Lepisosteus oculatus: one gene and its partners. The protein of the gene in region 3 interacts with the protein of the main gene of each other region in a pairwise test. Links are inferred from orthologs where the notes say so. Each region holds a gene or a part of one and is shown on either strand. Other genes may lie near its edges.

The links.
Region 1: the proteins of 3-oxoacyl-[acyl-carrier-protein] reductase FabG (region 3) and nek6 interact in binary tests that used the Homo sapiens proteins (3 or more experiments, as listed by UniProt). The two-hybrid records come from large-scale screens. The link is inferred for Lepisosteus oculatus from reciprocal best matches to the Homo sapiens genes HSD17B14 and NEK6.
Region 2: the proteins of 3-oxoacyl-[acyl-carrier-protein] reductase FabG (region 3) and srek1ip1 interact in binary tests that used the Homo sapiens proteins (3 or more experiments, as listed by UniProt). The two-hybrid records come from large-scale screens. The link is inferred for Lepisosteus oculatus from reciprocal best matches to the Homo sapiens genes HSD17B14 and SREK1IP1.

What each region holds. Positions count from the first base shown.
Region 1 is NC_090719.1:13,838,070-13,841,824, forward strand, and holds the start of nek6 (serine/threonine-protein kinase Nek6), read right to left. Parts: upstream 2,859-3,755; 5' UTR 2,763-2,858; coding exon 2,761-2,762; intron 1-2,760. UniProt on the Homo sapiens protein: Protein kinase which plays an important role in mitotic cell cycle progression. Required for chromosome segregation at metaphase-anaphase transition, robust mitotic spindle formation and cytokinesis.
Region 2 is NC_090698.1:27,601,761-27,605,515, forward strand, and holds the start of srek1ip1 (protein SREK1IP1), read right to left. Parts: upstream 2,232-3,755; 5' UTR 2,133-2,231; coding exon 2,120-2,132; intron 1-2,119. Other genes in the region: spliceosome-associated protein CWC27 homolog, read left to right, coding at 2,992-3,033. UniProt on the Homo sapiens protein: Possible splicing regulator involved in the control of cellular survival.
Region 3 is NC_090719.1:4,647,817-4,651,571, reverse strand, and holds the start of 3-oxoacyl-[acyl-carrier-protein] reductase FabG, read right to left. Parts: upstream 2,754-3,755; 5' UTR 2,615-2,753; coding exon 2,591-2,614; intron 2,178-2,590; coding exon 2,007-2,177; intron 530-2,006; coding exon 351-529; intron 1-350. UniProt on the Homo sapiens protein: Catalyzes the NAD(+)-dependent oxidation of L-fucose, yielding L-fucono-1,5-lactone, which rapidly converts spontaneously to L-fucone-1,4-lactone. Can also act on D-arabinose and L-galactose, with lower catalytic efficiency. Does not use NADPH.

The DNA of each region.
Region 1 (3,755 bases), about 9.2 Mb from region 3:
TTCAAGTATTTCAGCGCGTTCATCAATGGATGAAACATTTTCTGAAAAACTAATACACATTCGAGAGACAACAAATTCTGCTTCCTGTTCCTACACACCATGAGACTGAAATGACCTGCCATGCTGCAAACCAGGCACAATGAGAGATTTTGCCCTTGCAACACACTGATCAGTATACCTACTGTACAGTTCATATCAATGGCTTCACCCTGAAAGTTTTTACTGTTTTACATTTTTTTTTATTCAGTTCTGAATTGACCAGTATTTTTGTTGTGCCCTCCCAATTTTGAAGCAGATGGCCGGGGGTTTTTTCGACCCACGGTTTGAAACCCTGTAAGCTGCACCAAGGGGAGAACGGGGAACCGTGGGCTGACTCCTCCAACCTGCCTGCCTTCAAGATGCTAGTTTTGTTTCACACTTCACAGGCAACACGGTCTAGTACTGGAAGTTCAGCACTGATTGGAGGAGAGGTACTGGACGTCCCTCACCACCAGCACCGCCAAACTGCAAGAGCCCAGGAGACAGCAGGGGGCGTTGTGATGCCGAGAGCTGAGGGGGCTCTGACTGAATAAGCCCACCCTAGCCTGTGTAGCACTGTGCCCTTCCACTCAGGGGATCCCAGCTGCAGTCAGCTGCTGACATGGCCCAGTCTCATGGCCCAGTTTCACCTTTCAGCCAGACAGCCGGAGTGCACAAATTAACATAATCAATCAAACTACCACCTGCAAAATGATAACGGACAACCGCTCTAAATATGAACAAAGAAACCGACAAGAAGAAAAAAAAATAATTACACTAAGAAATTAACAGGTTCTTTTTTTGCCTCGCATTATAAGGAACTAAATATGTGGGCTGCTCTGCTTCTGTCTTTTTATTGCCTTGCAGAAAACACGTCTTTTAATGAACTGGAAACTTTTCTTCTTAATTATAGCACTCACCATCAAAGCTAAAATGCACAAATTCTTAGAAGAAGCTTTACATCTGGTACAGGAAATGCCACCTAAGCTTGCTTCGAAATGATGCAAATAGAAGTAAGAGGGTTAAGTGTGACTTTGTGGTTGAAAATCGCCCCACAATAGACTGGTGCTAAATCCAGGGACTGAGACGAGCTACGCTTGACTCATTACAGCTGAAAATAACTCCTAAAAGTATACATAAATCCCCGAGCCACACACTGCTATCCCTGCTTTGTTACAAGATTACTTTTCAAACTATTTTTAGTTTCACATCTATGCATTTGGAAATCCATTACAAACCGCAGCACGGTTTTACAAGATAACAGTTATACAAGATCAGAGCTTGCCACTATTTTATATTTAATGACAGAAGTGAACTCCTTAAATCAAGATACTAGAAATATTTCATTTTAAATACACATGATGTAATCCCCAGTTCATAATAGCAACCCACATTCTCACTTTGAAAACTCACACAGATGAATTGCCAATTTTTATAAACGGTACTGCAGCCAGGCTTGAGTAAATATTTCTTACCCCATTACTTGCAGAAACTCTGAAATGCAGACGTACATTAATGTGCGTATTTTCCGTGAAAAACATTTTATTCACTTTCAATAATTTTAAATACTTGCCCGTTTTTAGTTTTGTTGTGAAAATATGGACATGAGTGGCCAAATGTAAATTAGTACTGTCTCCAGTATGAATCAGGGTTTGGCTCATAAACTAGTGGACACATCCTAACTGTAACTGTACATACATTACATTAGAACATCCAAAAATAATATTAATGTACCCATTATATTATACCAAATGCAATCTGCACTGCTACCTGTTTTCTACCTGACAGGTTACGATATTAAAATATTCCTTCCTTTAAAATGTATTTCAGGCATTGAAACACATCACGCATTTAGAAGTATATATAAATTTTATTTTCGAAATTGACAATTTCATAGAAGCATGATGCGCCTGTTCCTCAATAATAATTTATGTAACTTTTATACCATAGCCCTTACTCTATTGAGATCATTCCCATATCTGGCTTAGTACGCTAGCCCTACATCTTTTATGCGTTTGAAGACAGGAATGCTGAAATAATCAATAGTCTTCAGCGAATTGGGTCAGACAGCAAGAGCTACTGTCCTCATTAACGCCAGCCTCCACAGGAAAAGTTAAAAGAATGGCAGAGTAAAATGACAAGGCCTCGCATAGACACATTGGAAACAAGGCACGTAAATCCTGCATTAGACCTGTCCAATGTGAGGTGAAGCACCTCTTAAAAAAAAACACCTTTGAGCTTGCACACCTGTAGAATCTTTCTACAGTAAAAAAGCAGCACAGGTCGCCCAACCCAGAAATGGCACTTGACACATCGGATTTCATTTAATAATTTCATAATCCTAGTTGAGTGCTGCTCGCAAAAAAGTTCTTCATTAAAGTAAATAACCATAGTTTTTATTAATGCTACGTAGTGTAGAAACAACAGCTTACTATTACAAAATCGGTAAGAACTCATCTGTCGTGTGAGTACAGAAATGTTTATTCTGTGGCTTGATGGTTTCTCGTCAGGTGTGATGCTCTTGCGGATTCAGAAGTCTTAAGTCAAAATCTTACAGCTGATACAGTGCATCCGAACTCTGCTAATGCACAGTACTGCAGGTGTAGCGCTCTTCATGTACAAAAAGGTTTTCCACCACACACACACAAAAAAAAATCCCTTATGATGCAACTGTGTCAGAGGAGCAAGCAGAAAAGGGGAAGAAGTATCTTCAAACAAACCTCTTTTGGTTTGGCTACTTACATGTTTCCTCTGTGTGCTTGACACCGCAGAGATGCTGTCTGCAAGTCTCGACTCCCTGGTAAGGTGTCACCAGATAGCCCAGCTGCAGCTTCTAATCACCCTCTGAAACCTTCAATGACAAGCTTCACTTCCTGTTTCCTCCCCTGCCAGCTTTTTTTTCTCCTTTTTTTTTCCAGGACAGCCTGTGTTACACTCTCTCAGATCAACACAACAGAGTGCCAACAGGCCGGGCCTTGGTACTGACAAATCAGGAGTTTTTTTTTCTTCCATTGTGCATATTCACACCACTTTATCCACACACAATTAGAAAACAGCTCTAACTAAGATTCTAAGATGTCAACTCCACTCACTGAACCATTTGTAATAAGGTACTAGGCAAACTATACAGTACTTATTGCACAGGCCCAGGATTATAATCAATCTGTATTTAATAGTTGTGCTTTAATAATAATAAAAGTGCAGTCACATAAACCCATTTTAATGATGTCCCTTTACTGTTTAATCACAATTCATAAAGAAACTAAGCAACTTCAAATTGTATCTTGTGCTAAAATTCAAATCATCTGTTAATTCATGAATGTAATGATCAAATTAATCTATTAAGGTTAATAAACAACTGTATAGCGCCTTGCAAACGTATTCCGACCTTTGCTCCAGTCTCACAGTCTGCATTAAAGCTTGCAGTCATGACACGTTAAAGTGGCAATTAATATTTTTGTGCAGAGAAAGTACTCCACACATTCAAAGCAAAAAGCAAAGAGTAAATAGAAGTAAACAGATAATACGAAAGGAAAATGGAGAAATAATGATTAAAAAAGTATTCCAATCCTCTGCTAACCTAATTTTATTTATTTATACAATTTTATTGTAAATAAGTGCATCTTACACTCAGCCTTATCTCTGCTGTCAAGCATGGTTGTGTCAGTCTTATGTTAAATTTCTGCTTTTCATCAGCAGGAACTGGGAAGACTGTCAAGACTGATGGGAACATAGAT
Region 2 (3,755 bases), on a different chromosome or scaffold from region 3:
CAAAAGCTGAATCAAATGTTTCAAAATTATTGTGTGTAAGTCACTACAGGACCATTTCTCAGAATGATTATGATTATATTATACTATATAATAATATATAAGTTTTATATTTCGTTTTATTTACTCAAAACTTTTTTGTGCTAAAATATTAAGACTAAGTATTTTCCTTATTTTTAATTAAGATGTGACTAAAGTTCTAAATGATGTCACTACAACTGGAGACAAGCACTACTGCACTTATTTAATCTCAAAACCAGAATTGCTAAAATGAAGGTTAAAACCTTCAATGAAAAAAACCTCTACAAATGGCACATGTAAAGATATAATCTGAACTATCTGAAAAACCAAACGACAGTTCATCAAGTCAATGGTGGGTTGGCAACGTCTTTCTTTACAGCAAAGATCTCTGTGATGTACTGTGACATTCAACATGTTTTTATGTAATGAGTCAATAGCAAATATGTACAACCTTTCAGAGTAACAATTCAAAATCAATGTGTTCTATTAAAAATTTAATAGAAGACAGAAAATGACTTCCTGAGCTAAATACACCATAAAAGAAACAGCCACACATGGTTTTGTAAGCGCTGCAAAGTTAATGTATCAGTCTTGTTTAGACTTTAATTGATAACTGCTTGGTTAAAAATAATGTAGATTTATGTTTATATTTAGTTTTATTTATTCAGAACTTTTTTGTGCTAAAATATTAAGACTTAGTATTTTCCTTATTTTTAATTAAGATGTGACTCAAGTTCTAAATGATCTCACTACAACTGGAGACAAGCACTACTGCACTCATTTAATCTCAAAACCAGACTACTTTAACTTTAATTCAGCCAAGAAACTCTCTCAAATCTTTTCCAGAACTGTGGAAAATGGGTTTATGGGGGTAAAATAGCAGTGTTGTTCTTTTGTAAAGCCTTGAGCTATGATCTGAAAGATAATTATTATTACTATTAATTTATCAGATTACTTTATTCAAGAAGCCCAAGATTCTAAGCACCCAATTCAGAACACAACAGACAGTGGCTTAAACAAAAACATACCTAACATTACCTAGCTAATGTCAGGCACTTAATTTAGAATTATTTAGGACGGAAGCACCTTGATACATTACATTAGACCATATACTAATCTCAGAATCGTAATTCCAGTGTGATTAAATTGTTCCCTTATTAAACAATGTTTTTTCCAGACTTATACAGGGCAGTGACAGCTAGTCTATCAATGGAAAATAACTAGTTTACACCAAAACAAGACAGTCACATGGACCTAAAATGCCAGCAGACGACACAGAAATTTCTCTTCACACACCTGAAATCAGCCCTCACGGATGCTGAAATTACACCAGTTTAAGTCTTATACTAACTAAACCTAAAAAAGGATGTAAAAGCTTGTAGTAATGAAAAGCGTATTAAGCAAAACATAAACATAATGTGAATAATCACTCGATGTACAGTGCCTTTAAACTCCAATTAACGTAGTGAACTGTAAATCTAACAATCATACTCTGATACGGCTCCAGAAACAGTTTCAGTTAATATCTTTACACTAAACAAACCCGGATTCTTGAAAGGAATGAGCGGACGAGAGCCTCGGTTCAGCTACTGACTGCCAAATGCGTTACAGGGGCCGAATGGCCGCTTAAAGTCTGCAACCTCTTTTTACATTCTTATTAATGATCACCCTAAAAAAAATCTCTGATCCGTGATGGCAGCGTGCTCAGATTTTGAGAATACACAAGGACCCCCAGGCATTTACTGTTATTCATTCTATACTATACATGACTTCTGCACTGAACACACGAAAGACTACGTTTATTTGTTGTATGCTTCCAGTCACTCAGATATCTTTAGGCAAACTCTGGAATTAGCTTATAAGATGAAAACTAAAATATAAAAATATATCTATTAAACTGAGAACATCCTTAGTTACAGTACGTCTTGCTGTACTTCAGAGTCCCAAAACACAGCTACTGTAGCTCAGGATTGCTAGAAAATTCTCACTGCAGGCGTAGAGACAGTATCTTCCCCAAACCTTAATTTGCTTTCCCCCCCAAACGTATACTGTCAGCACGCATTCACACAAGATGATTTTCAAAGATTCGAAAGATAACAACCTGGAAGAGCCATGGCGAGACAAAGATATCCGTAAAATAAAACCAAAGCTTTCCGAAATTCAGAGCGTATACCTCACTTTCAAAACTTCCCGAAAGCTCCACCAATTAATGCACTCCCATAGGAAACAAGAATCACTTTCATCGTCTTGTTGTATTACATCATATTAAATATCTTAGACTTTTGTAATAAAACAAAAAAAACATAAATAATATCAATTTGTTGTTGCTTCTCTTAAAGCAAAAAGTATGAACGTAGCAAAGTAGGACGTGACGATAATTTTGAATTACTGTAATACTCATGTTAAACTCACAGTTACACAAAGTACACTGCAGATAAACTACAGAGGCTTAGTTACTGTCTGGTTATAATTTATTAACTTTCAAACTTGTATAACGTTTAACATACACATTATTCCAAAATTACAACATCACATTTCCGAAAAAGAAGAGGAATGAAAAGTTAATCAGCGGAGTTCACATGGTTTCCGTGGGGTGTATTTAGTGTGTAACACTGAGAAAACAGGGCTAAACCAAAGGCTACATTTAAAATGATGCTTTAAGTAATACATTTCATTTTATTACACATAAATAGAGACGAACAAACTTTCTAATTTAAAAAATGTATTAAATATTAAAACTGTTCTTTAAAATACTTCTTAAACGTTAATATTCTTTAGTTACCCCCTGCTTATTGTGGTTAAGCCAGTTTTTTTTTATACTTTAGCAACATGGTGGTCTGTTCGTTCAATTTAGGTTGATTGTGGGATTTTCACAGTGTGAATCTAAAAGAGTTTATATATTTTTGTTGAACATCGCGGGCGATTTTTTAAGGTGTGGGGCTTTTGTGTTGTTTTAAGCTATAAGGGACCAAGATGAGTAACATTTACATACAAGAACCCCCGACTAACGGCAAGGTGAGTGTTTATCCATATTACAGTGCTATACTGTATGTAAATTTAACATTAAATTCCCTACTCTTTTGTCCTGCATAAAACTTCATTTGGTGTGCTCGTTGCTCTAGGAAAACAAGCATGGTAATTCTTTTGCACAAGTGTTGCTTCAGTTCAACATTGACTCCAGATACTGTGTGGCATAATGTTAGTTATCCATTTAGAGCTATACATAACAAACTGCTTCAGTACAAAATTTTAAACAGACTCTGTTATACCCCCAGAAAAAAGTGAAAAAGATGAAGTGGCATAATACAGGAATGTGTTCCAAATGTAACACACATAAAGGATCATTATTGCACTTATGGTATTGTCAGCACATACAGTCGTTCTGGACCTCCACAGTGGGGAAAGCTCTCAGGCACCTAAATATCTCAGTTCCACTTACTCCCATTACATGTATCCTTGGTGATTTATCAAAGGTGGACTAAATGGACTAAAGAGGCTATATAACAAGTACAATTTGAAGAGATTTAATATAATTTACATGGGAAGGTTCATGAGTATAGGAATGTTTGGGGCCCATTAGAGACATACTTGAATGGCACTGGATGTTAAGAATATTAGTAGGAATTTATTTTTTGTAAAAAATTTTTTTTGGTATTGTCTAATAAGAACAAAAATGAAAGGGCGAAAAATAACAAATAAAGAAGTCCTCCAAAGTTGGTTTTTGCTTTTTACCGGCA
Region 3 (3,755 bases):
ATCAGATTACATTAGTCATTACAGTGACTAGTGAACAGGAAGGGCCACATATTGCCATTTGTGAGAACTCGCGCATGTAGCGAAACCTGTGGTTTGCGATAACATGGTGACTTACAGTACTTTCACAAAGCTCACAATTTTGTGCTTACTGTAAGTCAAAATGTATAACATTTTTCTTTAACGTCAATGAATTTATTGTGTTGTCGAAATTTAATAACCAGTCTGAGAGACTGGGACTGCAGTTCACCTTTAATAATCAAGGTGCTGAAAGGATAAGCTTCATAAAAATGCACTACATTTTGCCAAATATCAGATCACACTAATTAACTAAAGCTGGTTTCATTCTTTACCTGACATTGATGTTCATGACCCGGTCGTACTGAGCCATGTCTGTAGTCTCGATGCTGCCCATGGCCAGGATCCCAGCGCTGTTAACCAGCACGTCCAGTCTCCCATAGTGAGCAATGGTCTTCTCGATAGTCTTCCTCACTGTGTCTTCATCCGTCAAGTCGCCAGGCACTAACAGTGGCTAAAGAGGACCACACAGATTCAGGGACTGTGAGTGGTTCAGTCTCCCTGTAAAGTCTCACACAGATTCCAACACTTTCATAAAGAGACAATCGAAATTTACAGGCGAACCTTCCAAATATGCCCACATGTTCTGAAATGGTCCCAAATATTCTCAGATATTGTTATACTGTATATTATAGGTGCAGGTTATTTTAACCCTCATTCCCACAAGGGAATCTGAGCTCTTGTTAGACTATGTTCGAGTAGGTAGCTGCATCAGCATGCGTAAGCTGCAAAGGAACAAGTAAAAGTTTATTCGATGCTGAAAAGGAAACGCAATGTTTCGGCTGTGGAGCCTCTACGTCTGAAGAAGCCTTCATCGCCGAAACGTTGCATCTCTTCCTTGCTATTCCTTTCAGCATGGAATAAACCTTTACCTGTTCTCTTGTTAGGCTATACTAACAGAGGTGAATAATGAACATTGTTTTTTCTTTCCTTAGTCTTAGGATTAACAATGAAAAATAATTCTATAAACAATGCTTGAAACTTGGTGCTGCGTTACATCAACGTGTAGTACTCAGATGATTTTATATTATGAGACAGTGTACAGATACCTGTGGATTTGTCCATAAGTATTAGCTTTATTGGGCAGGATTTTAAAGGCCTCCATTGCACAGATCAGGTTGTATGGTGTATTGATTATTGCAAGAAGAGTCAAACCTTTTTTTAAACATTTAAATTAAATTTAAGCCAGCATCTATATCACCCTGCAACTCACAACTAGCAGCCTGCTGAAGCTAAGCAGACGTGAGCCTGGTCAGTACTTGCATAGGAGACTCCTGGGAATGCTGCTGGAAGGAGTCATTATTGGGACCAGTAGGGGGCGCTCACCTTGTATAGTGACAGGGATACTACACTGTAAAAACGTGCCATCCTTCAGATGAGACGTAAAACCAAGGTGCTGTCTCTTTGTGGCCATTAAAAATTCCAGGGAGTTTCTTGACAAGAGTAGGGGTGTTACACCGGCATCCTGGCCAAATTTACCCTTGGTTTTCACCCATCATGATTATTATTATATTAATAATAATAAAGTTAGGGAAAGGGACTCTTTGGGAATAGTATTCTTCTTGAGCTACAGACAACAGATAAAGTAAGAGAGAGGTAAATATTGTCTTTTCCAGGGTGTAGAGTTTTCTTCTGGAAAAAGCCCTGGGCCGTTACTTTTATTAGGAAATTATTTTGTGAGGGAGGCCTAATTCTTTGCCCGTCTTACTCGAGCCAGGTTAAATTTAATCAGCAGTCCTGAAACATGAGATTTAGCCCCTTCCTTCCAAAATAATCTCTCTAAGAAACGTCTGGGTATTTTAGGTAGTGTTTTTACAGGAACACTTCTGCAGCAATTGAGCAAGATCAGCCCTCATTTGCTTGATGGTGTTTACTGTTGAGGATCGGACGGGCCACAACAGAAATATATAATATACAAATCAGCTCTTTACCTCTGTTCCTCCTGCATTTGTGCACTGCTGGGCTATTTTGGTCAGGTTTTCCACATCACGCCCATTAAGCGCCAGCAAAGCTCCCAGTTCGGCAAACAGAATGCCGGTTGCTGCCCCAATTCCTGAGCTGGCTCCAGTAATTAGAGCCACTTTTCCTTTGAGCGAGGAAACCTGAAAATGTATTAGCAGACAGATCAAACAGGAACCAGTATTTGACCTCTCGGGTGCGACGTTTGTCCGATAAAGGAAGAGTTTGGTTCAAGGGAAAGAAAGGTACCGAATATCAAAATCTGGCTTTCTAGATATGACGTTTTGCTTGCAACTAAAAAAAAAACTAATCTGATTGAGACTGTCGATAGTGACTTACGGTGGGTTAGATGTAAAGATTGTCTGGAGTAGGCTAAGGTTGACCAAATTTGTAAAACTTTGACAGGCTAGCATAATGGCAGCGAATTTCACACTTTCGTAAAGGTACGGTGCATTACCCTTGTACACTCTTGTAACGTTAAAACGTGCTTATTACCAGCAGCTGAAAGAGCGCGATGCTGGCAGGGTATTGGGTCGTATTGCCGGTATTTGCCTACCTTAAAAGGGTCTTCGGTTGCCATGTTTCATGAATCGATTAAAAAATAAAAAGTGATTTAATGCTAAGAGCTCAATAAGCAATATACTTCAACAGTCTCAACCACTGATTCCGAAACTGCCTGCTCGGCATTTGTATGACCTCATCACAAAGCGACATTGCCATGGAAAAGACAACTTTAGTGATGTGTCAGCTTGGTATAGCAAGGTGCATATTTCAGTCCGGCAACAAAGTATGCGTGTACATTTTTGAAAGACAAATATAACGTTGTAATTCACTTGTGATTTCAAAACAAATCACAAGTAAACAAACTATATGTTCTGTTTAGATTGAAGTGCTGAATTCTTCACGATGTGTAATTTCACAAGTATTTGTATACGAATCTGGGGATTCTGGTATCTCAATGGGAAAACATCGATTAGTAGAATTTATTTCTTTGCTCGACTATAAAAAGGCACTTGACGGGAAATTTAAACGAAAAAAAATGGAGAGCTTATGTGGAAATGAAAACCACTCGATAAGTATCTGCAGTTCAGTGAACAGTAGTAAGAGATTAAAGCGCATTTAAATGCGGATAAACGTCAATTTCCAGTAGACAAAAGTGATGGATTACCCCCACGTTTCTGACCGCACGGCTCCGATTTGTCTATTTATCAGAAAGGATATCATTTAGGATAACACATTTTTTTTCCTTTTAGTTAATTCACAATGTGATGTACTGTGTAGTTGGTGAATTATTTTCTTTAAATTGATTGGTTATAAGTTGATTACCTTTTTTTCTAGATGTTCTCTAGATGAGAACATCTCTAGATGAGATACCACATTCATGTCCAACAACCAAAATGGCAATAACTCTTATTACTTTGCCAAACAGGTGAAAGGGATGCATTAACATCTGTGATGGAATGGATAGTCACGTATGTGTATAATCTAATCAGCATTGTGCATAAAAAACACAACTGTTCTTGTTTTAATAACTGCATTACAACACTGTGATACTTAAAAAAAAAGGTTTATTTTAAATGTAATATAAATTAAACCAAAACATCACATATGAAAAAATAAAGAAGTGGAACAAGGGCCTGTTGTGAAGATTTCTTTCCAAGTAATACAATAACGTAACTGCAAACATTACAGACCCTGCAGATATTTGTCTGCATCCAGAA